3 linked regions of the Tribolium castaneum genome follow. Each later gene encodes a partner of the first gene's protein in a complex. Links are inferred from orthologs where the notes say so. Each region holds a gene or a part of one and is shown on either strand. Other genes may lie near its edges.

The links.
Region 2: Prim2 (region 1) and PolA1 share a complex: the UniProt entries of both Drosophila melanogaster proteins name them as parts of the alpha DNA polymerase complex. The link is inferred for Tribolium castaneum from reciprocal best matches to the Drosophila melanogaster genes Prim2 and PolA1.
Region 3: Prim2 (region 1) and Prim1 share a complex: the UniProt entries of both Drosophila melanogaster proteins name them as parts of the alpha DNA polymerase complex. The link is inferred for Tribolium castaneum from reciprocal best matches to the Drosophila melanogaster genes Prim2 and Prim1.

Annotation. Positions count from the first base shown.
Region 1 is NC_087395.1:23,553,030-23,560,348, forward strand, and holds Prim2 (DNA primase large subunit), read left to right. Parts: upstream 1-2,568; 5' UTR 2,569-2,801; coding exon 2,802-3,518; intron 3,519-4,225; coding exon 4,226-4,742; intron 4,743-4,795; coding exon 4,796-4,965; 3' UTR 4,966-5,086; downstream 5,087-7,319. Other genes in the region: RRP12-like protein, read right to left, coding at 161-437, 489-718, 772-1,014, 1,522-2,292; ras-related protein M-Ras, read right to left, coding at 5,722-5,814. UniProt on the Drosophila melanogaster protein: Regulatory subunit of the DNA primase complex and component of the DNA polymerase alpha complex (also known as the alpha DNA polymerase-primase complex) which play an essential role in the initiation of DNA synthesis.
Region 2 is NC_087398.1:9,860,868-9,868,257, forward strand, and holds the start of PolA1 (DNA polymerase alpha catalytic subunit), read left to right. Parts: upstream 1-3,602; 5' UTR 3,603-3,739; coding exon 3,740-3,755; intron 3,756-3,810; coding exon 3,811-4,008; intron 4,009-4,060; coding exon 4,061-4,242; intron 4,243-4,293; coding exon 4,294-5,563; intron 5,564-7,390. Other genes in the region: zinc finger protein ZFP2, read left to right, coding at 265-411, 463-832, 885-1,042, 1,161-1,555, 1,609-1,739, 1,978-2,399; NADH dehydrogenase [ubiquinone] 1 alpha subcomplex assembly factor 3, read left to right, coding at 2,645-2,697, 2,750-2,876, 2,927-2,985, 3,033-3,372. UniProt on the Drosophila melanogaster protein: Catalytic subunit of the DNA polymerase alpha complex (also known as the alpha DNA polymerase-primase complex) which plays an essential role in the initiation of DNA synthesis.
Region 3 is NC_087395.1:25,581,816-25,589,040, forward strand, and holds Prim1 (DNA primase small subunit), read right to left. Parts: upstream 3,513-7,225; 5' UTR 3,366-3,512; coding exon 3,263-3,365; intron 3,219-3,262; coding exon 2,693-3,218; intron 2,639-2,692; coding exon 2,225-2,638; intron 1,816-2,224; coding exon 1,622-1,815; intron 1,568-1,621; coding exon 1,548-1,567; 3' UTR 1,489-1,547; downstream 1-1,488. Other genes in the region: uncharacterized protein LOC659605, read left to right, coding at 1-61, 110-1,478; aldo-keto reductase family 1 member B1, read right to left, coding at 3,633-3,672, 3,723-3,983, 4,031-4,278, 4,471-4,842, 4,891-5,031, 5,083-5,115. UniProt on the Drosophila melanogaster protein: Catalytic subunit of the DNA primase complex and component of the DNA polymerase alpha complex (also known as the alpha DNA polymerase-primase complex) which play an essential role in the initiation of DNA synthesis.

The DNA of each region.
Region 1 (7,319 bases):
TTATGAATTTTCTTTTTTGTAGAATAGCTAACATGTATCTTTTTACAACTTTTCGGTTTTAAATCTGCAAGCATTTTTAAAATTTAATAATTTTCCGTTACCCACGTAATGAACTTAGTGCCTTGATAAATAAGTAACTATTGTTTTTTTTATTTTTTACCTCAAACATGACCGCGATCAAATGCAGAACCTGATGCCACACACTATGGTACTGGTACCCAAGACCAGCTTCAACACAACTGAAACACTTGTTAATTTTCGAGCTAAACTGTTCCACTTGTTCTTTAATAGCACAAGCTGGACCAACAGCATCTTTGAGTAAATTTTCCAAGGCATGAGTGGCTGCAGTCATAATTTCGCTTTTTTCCGACAGCCACAACTGACTTATTGTTGCGAAAATTTTCGGTAACGCTGCACACGATGCGGCCAAATCAACACTAGAAAAAATTTAAAATAAAAAAAAATAAAAAGTTGGGGGAAACACCGACTCGGCCAAATGCACATGCGCTTGCTGCATCACAGCCAACCAGGCTAAAGTCGGCTGGACATCACCTGCAGCCGGCTGGTATTCGTACAACGCTGAAATTAACTGGGCGTTCAATTTTGGGGGAACCACAGCCGTTTGGGCCGAAAAAAGCGCATGGAGCACCTGTAGGCCACATGACGTGACGATTGGGTAGTTTAGAGTCATCAATCTTAAAATAATCTCGCAACATTTCTAAAAAAAAAAAAAAAATCGTATTATCGTCGCAGCTAAAAAAACAACTGTACCTTCATGTGCGACTTTGAAAAACTACAAATTGTGTCTTTCAACAACCCCAGAGTGTGTAAAATGGTCGTCTGACCTGCCTGTATTGAAGAAACTAAAATAGCGCCCGAATTACCTCCCATACAAGTGTCTAAAGTTTGCTCGCAAAATTCGGCGATTTTATCAGCCGCAATATTCGTGTTAGTTGAGGTGAAATAGTCAGATTTTACGACTAAAATTACAGCTTGTTGGGCTGCTTTACGCCACTAAAAATCACAAATTAGGGACAGTTTTTACGATTTTTCAGAGGTGGATTAAGGGCCTGCGAACCTGTTTTTTATTAAAATTGTATTATTATATATTTTTATTTTTTTATTATATATTATATATATTTTTGCTGTATTTCAAAAACAAATAACGACACAAAAAACCAGGGTTTACGATTGGATAACTTTTTTCCTAAGCATGATTTTTTTTATTTATCGACAATTCTTTATATAATTAAAATTAATAAATTATTATGGAGAGGATGAAAAAAATTAACGATGCTCGAATGTTGAAAAAGTCCCGTTAAAGTTTGTCGACCATTTTCAAGTAAATGGCAACTTAATTCAATTAAACGTGCTGCCATTTAATTGCCAAAAATATTTTTTATTTTAATTAACTAATTAAGTAATTAAAATAAAAAAAAATCTGTGAGATTAATTTTTGAAACGTAGTAGAAATATATTTTTGGACCCCAGTCCACTTAATCCACCTCAGGTGTGCCTCACTTTTGGTTTCGTATGAAGACAAAAGGGGTTCAACATCGAGGTAAAAATCTTAACCGTTGCTTCGTTAGTCCAAACAATCAATTCCTGTTTCCTCAGAAGCGTCCCCAAAATCCCAAAAATCGACTTAACGATCGTATTATTATCAGAATCGACGTAATCATTAAGAATGTGCAAAACTTTCGCCGATAAATCGCTAAAAGTCCGGCGTAAAACCGGCTCTGGCACCGTCTTGATCCCCATATTCAGCAAAGCCAACGCCGCCGTCAACTGCTCCTCACTGCGCTCCTCCCCCTCATACACACGTTCAAGTGCAGTTATCAGCGAACAATAATATTCAGTGGCCGTCTCAGAGCCCCCGTTTTCCCTAATCACCTCGCTAATCGCCGCAAGCATCGCCAGCATCTCCTTATGCAGGGCGGAATCGGCCCGGAAGACTTTCAAAAAGCGGGTGAACGACATGTTGCTGTAACTCGACCATTCGGACGCAAACGATTCCATGGTTTTGTACGAGGAGTAGGTGCCAACTGACGACTCCACATCCTCGTCCACGCCCATGGGCTCTGGGTCCGGCCGCGGCTTGAAGGCCTGAACTGCATCGTGTTTGCGCAAAGCCTCAGACGTTAAACCGCTCGAGCCCAGATTTTCTTGAAAGAAACGCGATTTGGCCAAATCACGGTACTTGTGCGTCTCGGGGTTCGAGCTCGAGCTCTGGCCCTTCGGCCACCGCTTGCCCTTGGCCTGGCCCTTCAGCTTGGACCGGAACTTCCCCATTTTTGCTAAAGGAAAACAGATCAAAAAAACATAACCTCACTTAACGACACGTGCCGTTTTTTATCGACTGGTGCAAATCTACGCATTGTATTGACAAAAAGCAGAAAAAACTTACGTTTTTCCACTTATTAACAGCAATTGGTTTTAGATAATGTTGATATTTACACAAAAAAAAACTTATTTAAACTTGATAGTTGACATTTAACTTTGCCACACGTGGTGGGTTTCACTTTCACCAACCGTGAAATAAAAAAATTACAAGAAAGTTCAAATTAAATTAATTTGGCCCAATATTTCGACTCATTATTCCTTTTTGATTGTTTCAAATGCCACACGGGGTGGAACGCCACACCTGGAAAATATCTGAGCGTTGGTTTTGCCCCCAAAAACCGGGCAGTGATTTTAGCTAGTCCCCAGATATTGGTGCCAGTTTTTGGCGGGATACCATTTAAATGTGAGGTTAAGTGAGTTAAGTTTTAACTAAACACTGTAAATTGTGAATTTTCGCCATGGATTTCACGTCGTATCGCCGCACGGTGCGAAAAGCCACCGCCGAGGAGCCCCTCTCCGAGCTGTACCCCCACGACGTGAGCATGTACCGCGAAAGCCCCAAAAGCGAGATTTCCATCCTGGAATTCGAGCAAATCGCCCTGGACCGGCTCAAATTGCTGCGAATTATCGAGCAAGCGGCCCCCAAAGGCAACCGGTTGTACAGCGACCAGTGGAAGACGTGCATTAAGGACGACTTGGCCAAGGCAGGGTTGAAAAAATACGTGCGCTTGATGGGGGGCACCAGTGGCACGAGCGACTTGGATTACCAAGCCCGCAAGGCCGATTACCTCTCACACTTTATCCTCCGGCTGGCGTATTGCCGCTCGGAGCAATTGCGACGGTGGTTTTTGAGCAGGGAACTCGAGTGGTTTTGGATTCGTTTCACGGCTCAGTCGCGCGAGGGGGTCAAGAATTTTTTACGAATTTATAAATTCTCATATACTCCTATTTCGGAGGAGGAGAAGGTTTCGCTAAGGCATGAACTGGAGGCGTCAACTGCGGGGTTGATTCTGTTCGAGGAGACTGAATTTTTTAAAGTGCCTTTTACTGAAGTTTGCTCGTTGGTGAGGGGCCGGAAAGTGTTTCTTAAGGCTGGGTTTGCCTATATTCCGTCCAGCGAGCTGGTGGTCTGCATCCAGTCGAAGTTCAGGGCTGAATTAAGCGAAGAGCTAACTGTAAGTCTAGTTATATAAAAACATATATAACGAAATAAGCCCAATTTTAGTCATTTTCAGAGAAATTATAAACGTATCTTAAAAATATTCTGCTATAAATGCTATAAGAATTTTGTTATAAGTACCGAAAATTTATTATTAACTGAAACCTATTTTTTCTACAATAACAATAAAACATCAAACGGAATTTTTTTTTTAAAACGTTTAACATTTGCACTCTGACAGGTTTGAAATCCAGCAGTTTAATTTAAAAATACTGTGATGTATGGTTTGAGATCGACTGCATATTTTATTTATTTTTATGGACTTACTATTTCGTTTTAAAACTGAGCACCCCAATAAAAACGTGGTCAAGAGTGCTTTGTAAATTTCAGCAACAATTGGTAGTTACCTATGAAATTTTCACAGCACGCGTGACTACGATTTTTATTTCGACACACGCCACCTTGACCGTTTAACAATTTGTGATTTTGATGTTTAAACATTTAATTCCTGCTATTTTAGAAAAAAATCATATTTAGACAAGTGTTATAAAGCTTGTGGAACCAAAATTAATAACCAAATTTTTTCTTATATTCTATTTTACGTAAGATGATTTTTTTATATTTTATTGTAAAACGAAATGGGCGCTTATGTTCTCAACTATTGAAGGCACTCGCTCGCTACGCTCGTCGTGCTCTAAAATAACTCCAATTCGAAACTTTCAGTGGTACAGCCACCGCATCCACCTTTTCGACGACGAGCGTATTGGGCCCCTTTTGTCCAATTTCCACAATTTGCACACGGGCCAAAATTACCGAGTCCGTGAAAACCACGAAAGTGTCGATCCAGCAGATCTGGACACATATGCTAAAAAACACTTCCCTCTCTGCATGAAACACATGCATGAGGTTTTGCGGTCTGAACACCACCATAAACACCAAGGCCGTCTAACTTACGGTCTTTTCTTGAAAGCTATCGGGCTTTTGTACGAAGATGCGCTCAAATTTTGGAGGGATGAGTTCACGAAAAAAATGGATTTGAATCAGTTTGAGAAGGGTTACGTTTACAATATCAAACACATGTATGGGTTGGTGGGGAAAAGGGCCAGTTATTCGCCCTACAGTTGTGTTAAAATTATTACGAGTAGTGTGGGGCCTGGGGAGCACCATGGCTGTCCGTTTAAGCACTGGGATGTTAATCTTGTTAAGCAGAAAGTTATCGAATGTGGTGTGAGCGTTGATGGTAAGTTGGCTTACTTTTTTATTTAAATGAAGTACTTTTTGTACCTATTACAGGTGCTAATGAAATCAAGCAGCTTGTTTCTGATGGTCATTATCAACTAGCTTGTGGAAAATATTTCGAATACACTCACGGAAAAGCGCTGGGAAATGGAATTAATCACCCTAATCAGTATTTTGAAGAGAGCATGAATATTGAAAAAGGAGCTTCAGGCAATAAGAAATAATATCTGTTACTACAATTAAACGTTATTTTTTAATAATTTATTTTATATTTACCCTTCAGTCTAAATTGCATCCGTTTTTTTAATTTGGTTTTAATAAAGTCCCAAAGACTTTAATTGTTGATACATGCTTTCACGTTGTATTTTATAGTTAAATAAATATTTTGGAGAATAATAATTGTGTTTCGTGACTTCAATGGCCCAAAAATTCCATTCAAATAAATTTTATTAACACATCGTACACAAAAGATTACATTCGTAATAAAGTGTCAAAAACATATTGTAATCTAGAGTTTAAGCTATCTCTACTAAAATAACTTTGGTAAATAAAACTGAGTCATTCAATTGTTTGACCTAACAACTGTACGTTTCTTTGGCTAATACTTGAAGCCCGTGCTGAAACTCTAGATTAACGCCTAGTATTAAAAAATAGCTAAATCGGTTATCAAATAAAACATGAGCGGGTTATAATACAAGTCAACAAGACTACTGTTTTCATCCCTCTAAACATATGTATAAAAATCGAAAATATCACAATGTCGTTTTGAAGGTCTGAAATAAATTAGTGCCGTGTTTTTCGTACCATCGGGAGCCAATTTTAAGCAAAATGAGCAGTTTTTGGTCCTCTTGAAACATGATGTAGTTTGCCTTGGACTCATCATACAGAGAATACAATAATCTATGACACGTAACATTGAACACTTGACTTTAAAGCTATAGGATACAATTAATAGGCCTGTTAACATAGAGAAAAGCAAATTAAATAATAATACATTTTCCAAGCTTGCTGAGCTTCCGCCGCTTTTGCTTCTCGTGGTCGGGCTGCGGCTGATTCCTTATAATGCGCACAACCTGGAAACAACACCGAAATTTATGGTGTTGGCACATTTTTTTTAAATCTACACTTTTATAAGTACAGAACAGTGAGGAACACAAAATTTAAGTAAATAAAGAATACCAGGAACATGAACGAAATTGTGAACATTAAAAACAAAACAAAATAAAATAATTAAAAATAAAAGAAGTTGTAGAAACTGGGACAAATTCCGTACCGGTAATAGTTTTTGTAAACGTTGAGAAGATAATAAATGTGAAAGCAGGAGTCATAAAAAGATGCAATATGTAAATACGTACAAGTGTGCTTAAGATTCTACAATTTTTAGCAAGGAAGTGAAAAAAATGCAAAATAATCGAACTTGTAGTCTTTTTCCAATTTGCTAATTTTTTTAAATAATAAGTTTTGGTAAAAATGGAATATATTGCACATATTTGTACCGAAAAAACTAAAAATTATGAAATGAAATTAAAAGCACCAGCTTAGAAAACTACATTTAAAACTATTTAATTATTTTTTTTACTTTTGAAACCGGTGCATACATAAAAATTCTATATTACTTCCCGCTTTTAAAAAATTAAAAAGATGCCTCTTACAAAATAAAGAACGATAAAACCCTTTGTAAAAAATTATTAAAACTGTTTTATTTTATTCTTTCTAAATAATTTATATAGCCAATTAATGTTAAGTCTTTCAATAACGATTATGTGTGTCACCTTTGCAAGTTTCGCTATATCTTTCTAGAATACGTTTTTAAAATGAAAAAATATCGATGGATTGTTGTCATTTCCGACCAAATTTGGTGATTTTTCGTTCTAATTTAATAAAAATAGGGGAAAACTTAAAAAAAACTTAATTTTTGTTCTTAAAACGTGTTTAAATCCTCAGAACCTGCAAAAATAATCTTATTTTTGACATAATTCTGCTTTACTTTTTAAGAAATTTTGCGCAATAATTGAGTTTTCACTGAATAAACGCTTAGAAAAGGTAAATTTTTGGTCATTTCCGACCAAATTTGGTGATTTTTTCGTTCTAGTTTAATAAAAAAAGGAAAAAAACTTGATTTTTGATCTAAAACGTGTTTAAATCTTCAGAACTTGCCAAAATAATGTCATTTTTGACATATTTCTGTGATTTATTGGCTTACTTTTTAGGAAATCTTGTACAATAATTGAATTTTTACTGAATAAACGCTTAGAAAAGGTAAATTTTTGGTCATTTTAGACCAAATTTGATGATTTTTTCGTTCTAGTTTAATAAAAACAATGAAACAAACTTGATTTTCGGCCTAAAAACGTGTTTAAATCCTCAAAACTTGCAAAAATAATGTCATTTTTGACATAATTTTGTGATTTATTAGCTTACTTTTTACGAATTTTTGCGCAATAATTGAGTTTTTGTTGAATAAACGCTTAGAAAGAGTAAATTTTTGGTCATTTTCGACCAAATTGGGTGATTTTTTTTCGTTCTAGTTTAATAAAAACAGACAAAAACTTGATTTTTAGTCTAGAAACGTGTTTAA
Region 2 (7,390 bases), on another chromosome or scaffold:
TATGTACAAAGTTATTCGTATAATGTTTTGCGCCTGACTGGGTAAAAATGCAACTCAAAATACTTTTTATAAAACATAACTTTTAAGTATTATAAGCAATTTGACCCCCTTTTTTTTAACAGTATTTTGCAACAATTTTTTTAATTATTTACAACGCTAGTGTATAACTGGTTACATAACACGCTTTCTTTGGTTTATGCTGTGCGCAACATGTCTGCCAATCATCGAAATAACCTAAATTAATAAACAAACGATTTTTTAAAAATGTCTTTCGAAACACTCCAAATCGAAAAGATATGTAGAACCTGCCTTTCGGAAGAAGGTGACATGCGTTCGGTATTTAGCATTGACGAATCTATCGGCGAAACAATGCGTTTGTTTGAAATGTTAATGTCTTGTGCTGCAGTGCAGGTAAATCAAAGGTGGTCCCCCTTGTGCCCCATTTTCAATGTTTCTCTGTAGGTTTTGGAAAACGACGGATTGCCCAACCAAGTTTGTTTACAATGTGTTCATTACATAACTCGTGCTTTTTCATTTAAACAATTATGCGAGAGATCAGATGCAACGTTGCGGCAACTCCTAGGCAAACCCATGCAGGCCACTTTTATGGAATTAAAACCATTATTGTCTAGTGATCAACACGAACCTTCATTTAACGATGTTATAAATACCGTCACGGAAAATATACAGGCCGTAACAGATTCCGTAAATGAGGCTTTTAGTAGCGCAGTTGCAACAGTGAATAGCATAGACGTTGGGGATTCTTTCAAGTCGGAAGGGTCCCAAGACATGAAAATGAAACTGGAGTTTGTGGACAATGACGTGTTAGGAAGTAAGTAGAAGAAACTTATGTTTGTTAAGTACTTTATTCACATTTTTGTCAGTTGATCCAGATTCGTGTGGTAGCGATGCCGAAAGCAAAATAAACGAACTGAGAGCTAAAAGAGAATCAAAGAAAAAGAAAATTAGAGACGACACTGAACAACCGATTTATCCATGTGAGGAATGCACTCAGTGTTTCACTACAATGATCGATTTGAAGGTTATTTTGCAAACCAGTCCCTTGATCAATGAAGGAGCTACATTGAAATCTGTCTTCACTGATCAAGGAAGCTGTGTTTCAACTATTTCAGTAAAAATTCTCAAAAAAAAAATTGCAGGCCCATGCTAAAACACATCCGAAAATTAGCAGACACATTTGTAAAATCTGTAATCAAGGTTTCGCAAGTGCGAGCACTTTGTGTCGACACATGAAAGTACATGATGGCGCAAAACGGCATTTGTGTAGTGAGTGTGGCAAAGGTTTTGCGAGATCGGATGATCTTACAAGACATATAAGAACACACACTGGTGAAAAGCCTTTTCCTTGTAAATTATGCGGCAAATCGTTTGCTCAATCTTTTCGTCTGTTGGAGCATATGAGGGCGCATGCGAACGAAAAAAGTTTCATTTGTTCAGTTTGTGGCAAAGCCTTTTCACGTTATACGAGTTTGGCGGCGCATAATAAGACACATAGTGGCATAAAAAGCCACGCTTGTGGGGTTTGTGGCAAAAGGTAGCAAACCATGTGTAAAAATAATACTTTAATTTACGAAAAAAAAATTATAGGTTGTGTGGTTCTGGTTCTCTTGCAATGCATATGAAGACTCACACGGGCGTTAAAGACCACATTTGTCCTTACTGTGGCAAAGGTTTTACCACACCGAGTAATCTGACCATACATAAAAGGACGCACACAGGTTGGTTTACTTGCATTTATTTCCACCTCGCTTCATAGAAAATGATATTTTGCTCTCTAGTCTAAAGGTGCAAAATATATCTTTACCTCCCTAGAGAGATTTTTAGGAATTAGGGAGTAAAATATCATTTTCTATAAAGCGAGTTGCAAAAATAATATACACATTTTTCACAGAAGCAAAGTGAATTTCCTCTCTTGTGCAATTGCAAATATTATTTGTCCATTGTGTCTGTTTTTAGGTGAGCGTCCTTACGTTTGCAACGAATGTGGTAAAGGTTTTCCTGATCCGTCGAGACTCACAGTCCATGTGCGATCACACAGCGGCGAAAAGCCTTACGTTTGTAGCGTTTGTGGCCGTGGTTGTGTCAGTTCGTCTCAATTAAAAAAACACAGAAGAATACATACTGGCGAAAAGCCATACCAGTGCAATCTATGTCCAAAGGCATTTCCACGAAGCGAAGATTTACGCATTCATATAAAAACTCACACTGGGGATAGAAACCATATTTGTCCTTTTTGCAAAAAAGGCTTTTATCAGGCTTCAACTTTAAAAGTACACCTTAGAATACACACCGGGGAAAAACCGTACACTTGCAATATTTGTAATAAAGCTTTTTCGCAAACCGGGCCCCTATCCACGCACATGAAAACGCATTCATAGCGTACCTAAACTTTATTTATTTATTTACTAAACTTTACATTTCAGTGAGATTATATTGTATAAAGTAGCGTCTATTTAGTAGTTATACACATAGGAACACGTATTTAATAACTTGGGACTATGTTGGTGAAATATTATTATGTACTGCCTAAATAAATGCAATTTTAATAACAACTGACTTTTTTAATTTTCCCGCCAAAATTTTATCAGATGTTCAAATTACATAACCTCTGATTTCCAGAAAAATGTTTAAACAAAGCGTCAGTTTGTTCAAATTAGCAACAAATCATACGATTAGGTTAATAAAACCTCAGGTAATTAACCGTCTTGTGACGCTTTTTCGGTTTTAGACGTTTTTTGTACGGCAGTAAAAAATTAAGCGCTCCACCGGGGGCTTACGAAGGTGAAGGAAAAACAACCGTAAACATATTAAACAATGAGGACGAGGTGGGATTAATGATAAACGGCTTCAGTCAAGTATTATTCAATTCCGTGGCGTAATTACAAACTGATTGTTTAATTTCTAGGCGGGTTTTAGATTAAATAACGATTTGACGATTTTAGGCTCCGTTGTAATATTTCCAAAGTATACGTAACGTGTTATCGAACACAATTATACCAACGTTTTTTTAGATCAGTTCTTTCATGGAATGTTGGCGACATCAACGAAATTACAGATGAATCACTTTCGTTATTTACCATATTAGAACCCAAATTAGATATAATTGTTTTAGGAATAGGAGATCCACAAAAAGATTTCAGTTTCTATAAAAAAATTGTACCGTTTGCACGCAAACACAAATTAACATTTGAAATTCTTCCTACGGAACAAGCTTGTGCAACGTTTAATTTTTTAAGTTCTGAAGGAAGACATGTAGCTGGTGCGCTAATACCACCACAAACTGTCGTTACCACTGAGGATGATGTGCTGCAAACCAAATTAAGATACCAGAATTTGTACGAAAGAGAATAAAGGAATTTTGCCGAATTAGTTTTTTTTTTTTTTGAAAGAAACCGCCTAAATGAGCAGTGATGCCAGCACTAGATACCTATGTTTTTTCAATTAATTTTCACAGAAATTGTCCCAACAAGTTTTTATTTGGATTAAAGGTTTCATAAACTTTTCCCGCATGAACTATTTTTAAGATAAACACCAGTAGATAAACTAAAAAAATTTAATTCTGTAAATATGTCAGCCAACATAAAAACAAATAAAACACTACTATCATCTATCACGTTTGTGAGGTTAGAATTAAAGTTTTCCCGCCAAGTCAATGTGAATTTTTTATTTTTCTAAAAACCAGTAAATAGTTGTTTGTAGTGTTTTTCTAATAGTGATAATGGAAGACGATACCTGTGAGTCACAAGTAAATAATATTTAGTTAAAAACTAAGCGCATCTTTCGTTTTAGCCGAAAGAAGGCCCAAGAGGCAAAAGCGGGACTCCTCTTACAAAGCTAAAGCTTTCGAGAAATTTAAGCAATTGAAAAGTGGCCTCCGAAATAAATACGAAGTCGAAGAACTCGAAAATGTTTACGACACTGTTGATGAGAAAGAATACACCAAAAAAGTGTTAGATCGTCAGGATGACGACTGGATCGTTGATGATGGTATTTTTTTATGTTAAAACACTTCAGATTTTAATAGTAATTCGTTTAACAGACGGCAGTGGCTATGTAGAAGACGGTCGGGATATATTTGATGATGATTTGGATCATGCTTCAATAGCTGCAGCTTCTTCCAAGAAAAATAAGGGGGTTAAACGTAAGAAAAATGTGGCGGAAAATGCAGGTCGCGGGAACTTACAATACCTCATTTCGAATATGCCATCAAAAAAGAAAGAGGTCTGTTAATTTTTTACGATCAAAACGTAATATAGCTTAATGTGTGTTTAGGAAAAAAAGTTGGATCAGGATGATGATTTGGCGGAACTTTTACAAGAAATTAATGAAACTCCACGTGAATCCAAGGCCGCAACATCGAATTTTTCCCCACTGTCGGTAAAACAAGCTGAAAAAGATTACATGAGGAAATTAACTTCCATCAAAAAACCAGTAATAACTCTCAGCAGAACACCGAAAGCGAAACAACCACTTAAGATATCAACGGAGGAAAATCACGCAAAGCCGACTGAAGAAACGATTTTAACGGAAAATAAACTGGAGCCAGAAATAACTCAAGCGAGTTGTGAAGAAATTGCAGAAACTCAAGCGAGTTGTGAAGAAGTTGCTGAAACTCAATCTGATGGCTGTTTTGATGACGATTTGGATCTGTCCCAACTAGAAGAGTCTGAAGCAGAGCAATCCAAACCCCAAATTGAAGAAAAGCAAGATTTGTGGGAAAATATTGAAAGCGAAATGTTGAAAGAATGGTCCGTATCCCAAGACACCGAAACCACAATCGACTTGCAAAACTCCGACATTCCTCTCGTGAAAATCGACGACAAAAGCGTTTTCAGATTTTTTTGGTGGGACGCTTACGAAGACCCATTTATCAAACCGGGTGTTGTGGTTTTATTCGGCAAAACCTACCACACTCAAACGAAAACCCACGTGAGCTGTACCGTAATTATCCGTAACATCGACCGGCGGATTTTTTTCTTACCCAGAGTGGAAGAGGAAAAGTCCAAAAAGCCGGTCACGTCTCAGGACGTCTACGCCGAAATCAACGAACTGATGAAAACCAAAGGAATCAAAAATTTCAAAGCTCGACCCGTCACGAAAAAGTACGCTTTCGATCTTGAAGTTCCGTCAGAATCGGACTATGTCGAAGTTAGATATGCGGCCACAGATCCCCCAATTGATAAAACCACCAAAGGGCGGACGTTTTCGCGTGTTTTTGGGAGCGAGAGTTCATATCTCGAGATTTTTTTACTCGATCGTAAAATTAAAGGGCCCTGTTGGTTAAATATCGCGAATCCGATACCGGAATCGAATCCCTCGACTTGGTGCAAATTGCAAGTAAATTGTGACAAATTAACCGATGTTACAATATGTGAGGAGGCGATTGAACCGCCACCGTTGGTCGTCACTGCTCTTAACATGAGAAGAGCTTTCAATCCCAAGACGGGATTAAACGAAATCGTGATGTTGAGTCTTGTCACTAATGTTAGTTATTCCGTTGATAAACAAGCACCTACTGAAGCGTTCCAAAAGCACTGCTGTGGTAAGTTTGTCCGATAAATTTTTTCAATACAGTGCAACTCAGAAAATTTATCATCTGACGATATGAATCTTTTGCGAAACAACATAGTTGTGCAAATTTTGTAAGTTGATAGTAGAGCTCAAAAGAAGTGAAATTGTTTTTTGGCAAATTCTGAGAAAAATACTTTATATGATTCATGAAAAAAATGTTCTTTGGTAGGTTGATATGTTTAATACTTTTAATTTTTTCGTTAATTTGAAGAAATATATTTTTTAACTGGAGATATATCTAAATGAGGTGTACATTTTAATGCAAATAACATGTGTTAGTGTTAAATCAATTATAAACAAATAAATAATCTTTCAACTCTCTCCTGGAGAGAAACTTGGAATGTTATAAATAACAAAATTAGACACTTTTGCAATGATCGCCATAGAATAACAACGCGATAATTTAGGAAACCAAGCAGTGATACATTTTTCGAAACTGAAAACAAATAAAAGAGATTACAGCTTAAATGGTAAAGTTAAAAATGATTTTGTATAATGTATAGGTAAAAGGACGCTAAACTATTGTAACTGATAGATTATTAATATGCATTGTACATTATTTGAAATAACAGCGCAAAAACCCTTAGGAAAAACTGGAGCAGGCTTTCATTGTTAAGTCCAAAATTTGTTCTTTCGTTAATAACACAATAAAATTTATAGCTACGGCTTTAAAATAGAATACACTGTCTAATTATTTTCTGCCGGTGATAATTACAATCTTGAAAGGTTAATATAAGCACTTGTTCTTTAAAAATTCGCAAAGGTACAATTGAAGTAATACAATATAGGCTATTTTCCCTTAGAGTTTTGGTCCGCGAATAAATTTGGAATTAACAAAACTTTTAAACAAATATGAAATTTTAATTAAGCTTAGTTCTTTAATATCTTTTAAATTGAATTAAAATTTACAAACACAGCCTCAGAAACATGAGTCCCCTCATAAAAAATTATAAAAAAAATTGTATTGATTTTTTTTGGCAAAGATACCACCAAATTTCATTCACTTAAATGTCACTGCCTAATCATTATGTAAACTTTCGAATAAAGTAATTCTAATTCTCTGTGTCAAAGAAGAAAAAAATTGGTTGACATATTTTATCCTCTACCGGTTAAGTTGTTGCAAAAAAAATTATATTTTCTTGAATGGGTTTTTAATAAATACATAATAACTGATCTAATTTATTAAAAATGAAATAAAAGTAGTCTATAGTCAACAATATTACCGTTCTTTTCTCGTTTTATACCAAAATTACTACATTTTATAGAATAATTCATTCATATAATTAATAACAGGATTATTACATAAGCTCTTGATATACCACGTACTAAAAATATTCGAGAATTTACAGAAAAAGCAATTAATTTTGATGCTACTGATTATAATGTAGCATTTAGGGAATGTGTAAATACTTTGACTTCAAAATTTTTTAGTGTTTCACGTTACAAATAAGCCGCAAAACGATGTACGAAGCTGAGAACAGAAGAATCGAATTTTGTCATAGACAAAAAAGTACAATATAAAGTTATTATAGTTCGGCTAAAAAATTACACCATTATTATACCATTTTTTGGACAGACGAAGAAAAATATTATAATAATTGTTTCTTAAAATGTCGCTTCTTGTTTTAAAACATTTTTTATTTAATTAAATTAAATTAATTAAATGTGCACTTCACATCACATTGTATGTGATTTAAAAATTTAACATTTATTTTCCACTATGGAGCACAAAAAAAATAAAACAAAATAAATGCATTGTTATTGATTGCAATATGCATCTTTTTCCCTATTGTCTTTT
Region 3 (7,225 bases), about 2.0 Mb from region 1:
CCTGCTGTTATTCGAACATTTCACGAAACTTTGACCGAGTAAATCCCGACGATACCATCAAGTAAGAAATTTGTTAATGGGGCAAATTTTTAATTAATTAATTTTGTAGAATTTCCAAATGTCGGAAGTTTACGAAAAATGTGACTTTGGCCACTGACTTCGTCTTGGTCAAGTGTGACACTGGTTCGGTACAATACAAACAAGTCCATGCTGCGATCACGGCCAAAAAAACGACCAAAAATTCCGACATTTGGCCACCACCTTTCAGTGTCTTGATTCTAGGAATCGACAAGATTTCGCGCCTAAGTTTCATCCGGAATTTTCCAAAAACCCGTCATTATCTAACGTCGAACAATAAGTGGGTTTCTTTGAACGGCTACGCGAAAGTGAGTGACGACACTTTCACCAACATTTTGGCCCTTTTAAGCGGTTGCAAAACCATGGAGTGTGATTTAATTTGGTCCGAGTTCGAAAAATACAACTACACCACAGCGTTCGGTGAAGATGACGTGTGGTCAAAAACTTTCACCTTCCACAAACAACTCACAGATTACTACTTCCGGCCCTATTTTATCGCAAACGAAAAATACCCAACCGTGGAACTCAATAAAATGTTCCCGTGTCCAGACCGCGAAACGCCCTTTGAACGCCTCCTGGACCTGGCCAAAGACTTTAGTGTCACGTTCAAAAACCACCCAAGTTTCGCCCTTTTCTGGATCAAAACGGCAACTGTGGGAACCTTCCCGAAGCTGGACTACTCGATCCGGGCACTTTTCCGGCACCTGAACCGGAAAGGCGTGTTCGCGAACACGTTCGTGTTCTTCCTGAGCGATCAAGGGAGGCGTGAGGGGAAAAACGAGTTTACAAATGTGGGCTGGTTGGAGGAAAAACTGCCTTTCGTTTATGTTCTAGTCCCGAAAAAATTCCAAGAGATTTATTCCGAAGAGTTCAGGTTTTTGAAACTTAAGCAAAACGAGTTAACCACTCCGTTTGATCTGTACATGACTTTGCAAGACATTATGGTGCTGACTCAGGTGAATCAGGACCCGAAACCTAGTCAGAGTTGTCCGAGGTGTGAGTCGCTTTTTATGGATGTTACGGAAAAGTCGTGTCTGGATTCGGAAATTGAGAATAGGTCTTGTCCCTGTGATGGGTTCGTTTTGACGAATCTTGACGATTTAGTTGTGAGGAACGCCTCACTTTTTATTGTGAATAAAGTAAATGAGTTTGTTGATCAGCGAATGTGTCGGAGTTACGAGTTGAGGAAAGTGTTAAGTTCCAGTGCTTCCTGGAGTTCGGGTTACAAGAAATTACTAATAAGTGTCCAAACGTACCCCTATTCAGTTTTTGAGGCGTTTGTTACGTATGTTGATAAGGTTTTTGAGCTCGATGGTGAAATTAAAAGGCTAGATTTTGCCATTGTTAGGTGTGTTAGTGATTCGTTTTTGAAAAAATATTGTGTGTGTAAGGGTAAATAAAACGATAAAATTATAAATGTTCATTTATTTCGTAATCAGTAACAATGAGTAATAAAAAACGTAAACTAATTAATATTCCATTACAGTTCCTGGAAATTCAAACAATTAATTTGTGTTCGTTACATCAAGGCAATAAAAATCACCATTTTTTATGGCCCTGTTTCGGGCAGCTGAAGCCTGCAAGCCTCTTAAAAACTCGCAAAAAATTGTAACATATTTGAGTAAACTTGTCTTCTTGTAGTCTTTTATTTTAACACTGGTTTGGGAATTTTCCGCTAAATCTTTCTCCTGAGCTTTGGTTTTGGCATCGTAGGTGTTTATCTCGTCCAAGAGTTGGCTAAAATGCTTCCTGAATAAACTGCACGCCACACAAAATGTGCCACTTCTTATAATCACTCAGAAACCATTTTTCTCGGTGTTTGTTAAGAAAGCAAAATGCTCTGTGAATACTAAACTGCACACCGGAAAAAATGTGCCACTTTTTATACAGAGTTAGTGCATTTTTACTGTACCTCAAACACTAATAATCACTCAGAAACCATTTTTTTTTTCTATGTATGTATTCTTTTATAATCAAAATTACTTAAACAAATATTCGCCAGCCTCAAAAAAGAGACCCTGTATATTTCCGTAAAAAATCGGGCAAAAAATGTGAAAAAATAAGACACAGTTTCGGGCAGAAGTATAACAGCAACACTTGTATAGTATTCAAAGTGGTACATTTTCAGTGTCGGGCAGTTAATTACCTGACTGTGGGTACGGCATCTGGGTCAAAATGCTCGATGAATTTGGGCTTAAAAGGCACCGAAACTTTGCCACTTTTCGGGTGAATGCAAAACGGCGCTTTCAGCAAGTGATTTAAGCTTTTGGTGACGTTGATATCAAGTCGCGGATACGCATAGTAAAATTTCATCTCCTCAACCATGTATCTGTAGTGTTTTGGTATTTTTTGCTCTCTTTGTAACGTCTGAAAAGTGTTAACAAAAGCCTTCCAGCGCTCGACCGAAGTCTGAACTTTGGTCATTGCGTCTCGAAACAAAGGACTAAAACCCTCGTCAATGTTGCCCAAAAAAGCGTCCAAGCGCTCATAAGTCCCTAAAATGTCCTGTTCGACAAGAATCGACTTTTCGAAATATTCATCAATGACTTTTAAGGCCCTCCTTGAATTAACCAATTATTACACAACTTGGGAGCAAAAATGAGGAGATAATTACTCAGTGGCCGCATGCATGTTGAAAAACTTGACTTTTCGTACCACAAGGCCCCCTCGCAACAAAGTCAAATATTCAGCAATAGCCGACCGTTGATTATCATCCAAGATCCGGGCCTTTTTATCAGCCACCCAACAATGGATGCCTCTCCGACCCGAAAACACCCATAAAATGTTCTCAAAACCGAAGTCCTCCCGTAAAGCCCCATCCAAAATCTTGCACGCAATCACCATAAACTTCCAGCATTTGGGGCACACCCCAGCTCCCGTACAACAAGTCCGAACATCATCATAATCAGTCATATCGATATCAAACACAATCTCTCGCTCGACTGGTGTTTTGGAGCTAGAGTAACTTCCAGACGACTCAAGTCGCTGCTTGTAAATAGCCCCAATATCGATTTTAACCGGGAAGCGTTTATGGAGCGCTTGGGCAAAGTCCTCCGCATTTTCGAAACTCTGGTAACGGAGGTAAATGTCTCCGACTAGAGTGAACGAAATTTCGCGCCGGTTGGACACGTTGGGGTCACCTGAGGGGCTCACTTGACCAAAATCGAGCTTGGAGGCAACTTACCGTAGCAAAGCCATTTGTGGAGCGCTGTATGGGGGAACAGACGCTTGTAGTAGATGGGGAGCAGGTCAGGGAGGCTGTCTTCATTGTACAAAGAGGCACTCATCACGCAAAACACAGTGACAACTTTTCCCGCCAAAAAAAGTGAGGTTGTGTCGCAATTGGTTGCGAGCTTATGCAACCAACATTACGTCATTTATTTTTTTATTTAAATTTCGTTGCATAATGATCGATATCATCAGTGTGTAAAAACATGAATTTGCTATTTATTTGATTATTTATTAAGTAAAGGGTAAAATACAACATAATCATTTTATATCATGGGTTATGCAACCAACATCCGGTCACATTGTAATGTTTCAATTAAAAAAGCTCATTTTTGTGCGAACGGGAAATCGGGGTGTTTATCAAGTCTAAAATAACCAAAGTAAGGCTAAAAACTGACTCTGTGATTATTCTTTACCCTCCAAAGACCTTAAAATCGCAAACTCTGGCCGCCTCCCCCACATTTAAACCATACAAAGTTTTCATCTCATCGTCACTCAACACAAAATCGAACAATTTTCGATTTTCATCGATTCGTTTCGGCGTTACACTTTTAGGAATAACCGCAATGCCCCTCTGAATCAAGAAACGTAACGCCACTTGAGCTGGTGTTTTTTTGTGTTTTTTTGCAATCTCACTAATTTTTGCATCTTCCAAAATATTTGCCAACTGTCTGGGTCTGCAAAAAAGTGTCTAGAAATGAAAAAAAGGGCGCAAAAATCGTACTGTTGGCCCATTTTTTGCAAAAACTTGTTCATGCCGGGATTCCCCAAAGGAGAGTAGGCAATAACAGCAATTCCGTTTTTTTGACAAAATTCTACAAGTTCGCGTTGTTGCAAATAGACGTGGAGTTCGACTTGAAGTGCGGCGGGTTTAATTTTTGCGTTTTTTAGCACGGTTTCAATTTGAGAAATGTTGTAGTTTGATAAACCGATATTTTTGGCCCTTCCGGCATCAACCTGCTCTTCCATTTTCTACAAAATTTACAACAATGGGCAAAAAATAGCTACAAGTTGTGTTAATTCGTTCATAATTAATACTGTTTAAAGCACGAACGAGCAATAGCGAGTGAGCGCATCAAATAGCCCACTATTTTATTCTGGTAAAACGGTGGTAATTCGGTAATTGATAAAGCGTTTTTTGTGTTAAGTTATTTTTTTTCAAACCTTCCACAGGGCGACGTGGTCGGTCTTTCCCTCAGTCTCAATCTCCCCTTTATCGTTAAATCTGGGCCGTGCTTCCCCCTCGTAATAAGTACAACCAACGGGGAAATGAATCAAGTACAAATCGACGTAATCCAATTGCAAATTCGTCAATGACTTTTTTATAAACATGTCAACCCTGTCTGGGTGAACCCCCGTCATCGGAAGTTTAGTCGTAATAAAAACGTCCTGTCTTTTCAAGCCGGAAGCAAAGCGTTTTTTCAACACTTTCCCAATCGCCGCCTCATTTTCATAAACCCAAGCTGTGTCAATGTGCCGATAGTCTAAATCTAGGGCGTTGTTGACCGCAGTTTCGATTTCTTCATCGCTTATCGCCTGATTGATAAAAAATGAAATAAAAAAAATTTGATGCCAATAACCCACCTCCCAAGTCCCTAGGCCCAAAGCCGGCAGTTTTTGCCCACTTGGGAGCTTCAAATACAGTTGCGAGCCCATTTTTGTATAAAATAACGCAGAATGGAATTGCTGACAAGTATTGTCAAGAATTTTGTTAAAAATGCGAAGCTACAACGACAGACATTAAAAAAAAACGGAGATTTACTCACGGAAAAGTACCAGTCTTAGACCACTCGTGAGTTTGTTCAACATGAGAATAAATTAGAAAAACCTTGAAAAAATAACAGCTGAAAGGTTTTATTGGCTCTTCCGTGTTTATGTTATTACATAAGGTGGAGGTTATGCAACCAGTTATAAGTACAGTCGACCAGAAATTAAATTCTTCGGAGACACTCTCTTTATATTTTTTCAATTACAGCTAAACTATTCAAAAAAGTAAAACTATTTTTGTAAAATGATCTAAAAAATTAACTGGCGTCAAAAAAAACGCAAAATACCAAATAATTTTTTAGATTTTTTTATTTTCACCAATTTTTGTTTTTATGAGCAATGTCCGAGAAAAAGATAGATAATTAAAAGAGCTTTCCAACGATAATAAACTCAATAAAGTTGCGTCCAATAGTTCCAGGGTTATAACTCGATAAATGTTCCGGGTACCGGAAATCGATCAAAATTATTACAAAAGTTGAAACAGTTTTTTTTTTAAATAAAACTTCTTAACGTATTCTTACAATTTTAAAAACTCTAGAAGTTTTCTTTACTACAGCAAAAGAAAAATATTTTTTGACGTGACCATCATAATTTTAGCCAAAAATAAAAAAAAATAATTGTTGTAACAATAGGCTAAAAAACACACCATCAAATAATGTAATAAGTGTTTTTGCACTATTAATAAAGAGCTTTAAAGGCAAAAACGAGTAAATTATTACTATGACACGCAACCAGCGATGCAAGAGTGAATTAATAGTGGCCGACATTAACAAAAAAAGTTTTTGTATTATTTTTATTTATCGGATGCAACTGATAATGCACATTTGACCTTGACTTATTTTAAATAAATCATGTTTATGTAATTATAAATTCAATCAAATTAATTATAGCAAAGATAAAATTAATTAGTTTCAGTAATTTACCTTTCAGCACTTGTGGAAATGATAAATTTTTTTCTTACGATTTGGAAATAAGTAAGAAATAAATTATACAATTTAATTAAGATAAGAGTGGCAAAATGAATAACCTTTAATCAATTTGGAAATTTTGATTTAAATTCAGCCAAGTAAAATTCCAATTTATTACGAATCCTCTTGCATCAAGCGAATGGTAAATGTAAATGTAAAAATTTGCCTTGAGCCAAAATTAACATTTACGACCAAACGAACACAATAGAACTAAGCTTTATTTTTGTAAAACTAAAATAGAAAACAATTAATAAAAATTTAACGTATAATCAGTGATTGTGAGTGTAGAAGATATGTTTTCGTAGTGTAGTGGTTATCACGTGTGCTTCACACGCACAAGGTCCCCGGTTCGATCCCGGGCGGAAACAGTCTTTTTTTTTTTCGTTTTAACGCATTACCAATCATTTTGTAAAAATTCTCAAACGTCCTCAAAGAGTTAAAATAACAAAAAATACAATTGGGGACTTGGTCGTTAAATAATATAATACCTCCGATGTCCTCATTCTGTTCATATGGCGAAACTTCCGACTGGAAAACATTAGATAAAAGTCACTTACAATAGAAGTAATTTAAAGTTGAGATTACGCCCTATTTCAGTGTTTACACATCCGGAAACCTCTTAAAAACTTTGAGCATTCCACCTAATGTGGCATAATTACACAAGAGCCGCATTAAAAACTTGGCAATTTTGCAGAAAAATGTCTCAGAAAGCGAGTCCCTTGCCGATTACATCTATTACAAGTTTGCAGACTATTGATTGGGTCCGAGTTATGGGCGAAATTAGATTAACCCGCAGCGAGCGATTCTTTTCACAATAGCGGCCCACTTGCAACTTTTACTTTTGTTTAGCAACTAGTAATTATAGTGAAATTGTTTGAAATTTTCTCGAATTGGAAAATTGCACAACAAGGCATGGGTCGCCGATTAAATCAGTTTATAGCCGAAAACAAATTAAGTCATGGAGGGTCAGCAGATAAACACTTAGCTAACGTTCAAATCTCAGTTTCGTTGAGTGCGTCCAAGTGACTTTGTTAATTTGCTCGCTGGTGGCTCGAGGGATTAAATAATGCGACAGTGGAAACGGGGAATTGGGATGGAACGAACACGTGATCTTTGTTTGGACGAGACGTCCCGGAATTGATAGCAAGGTCAGGGATTTTCCGGGTTTTTGGGTCAAGTTAAAA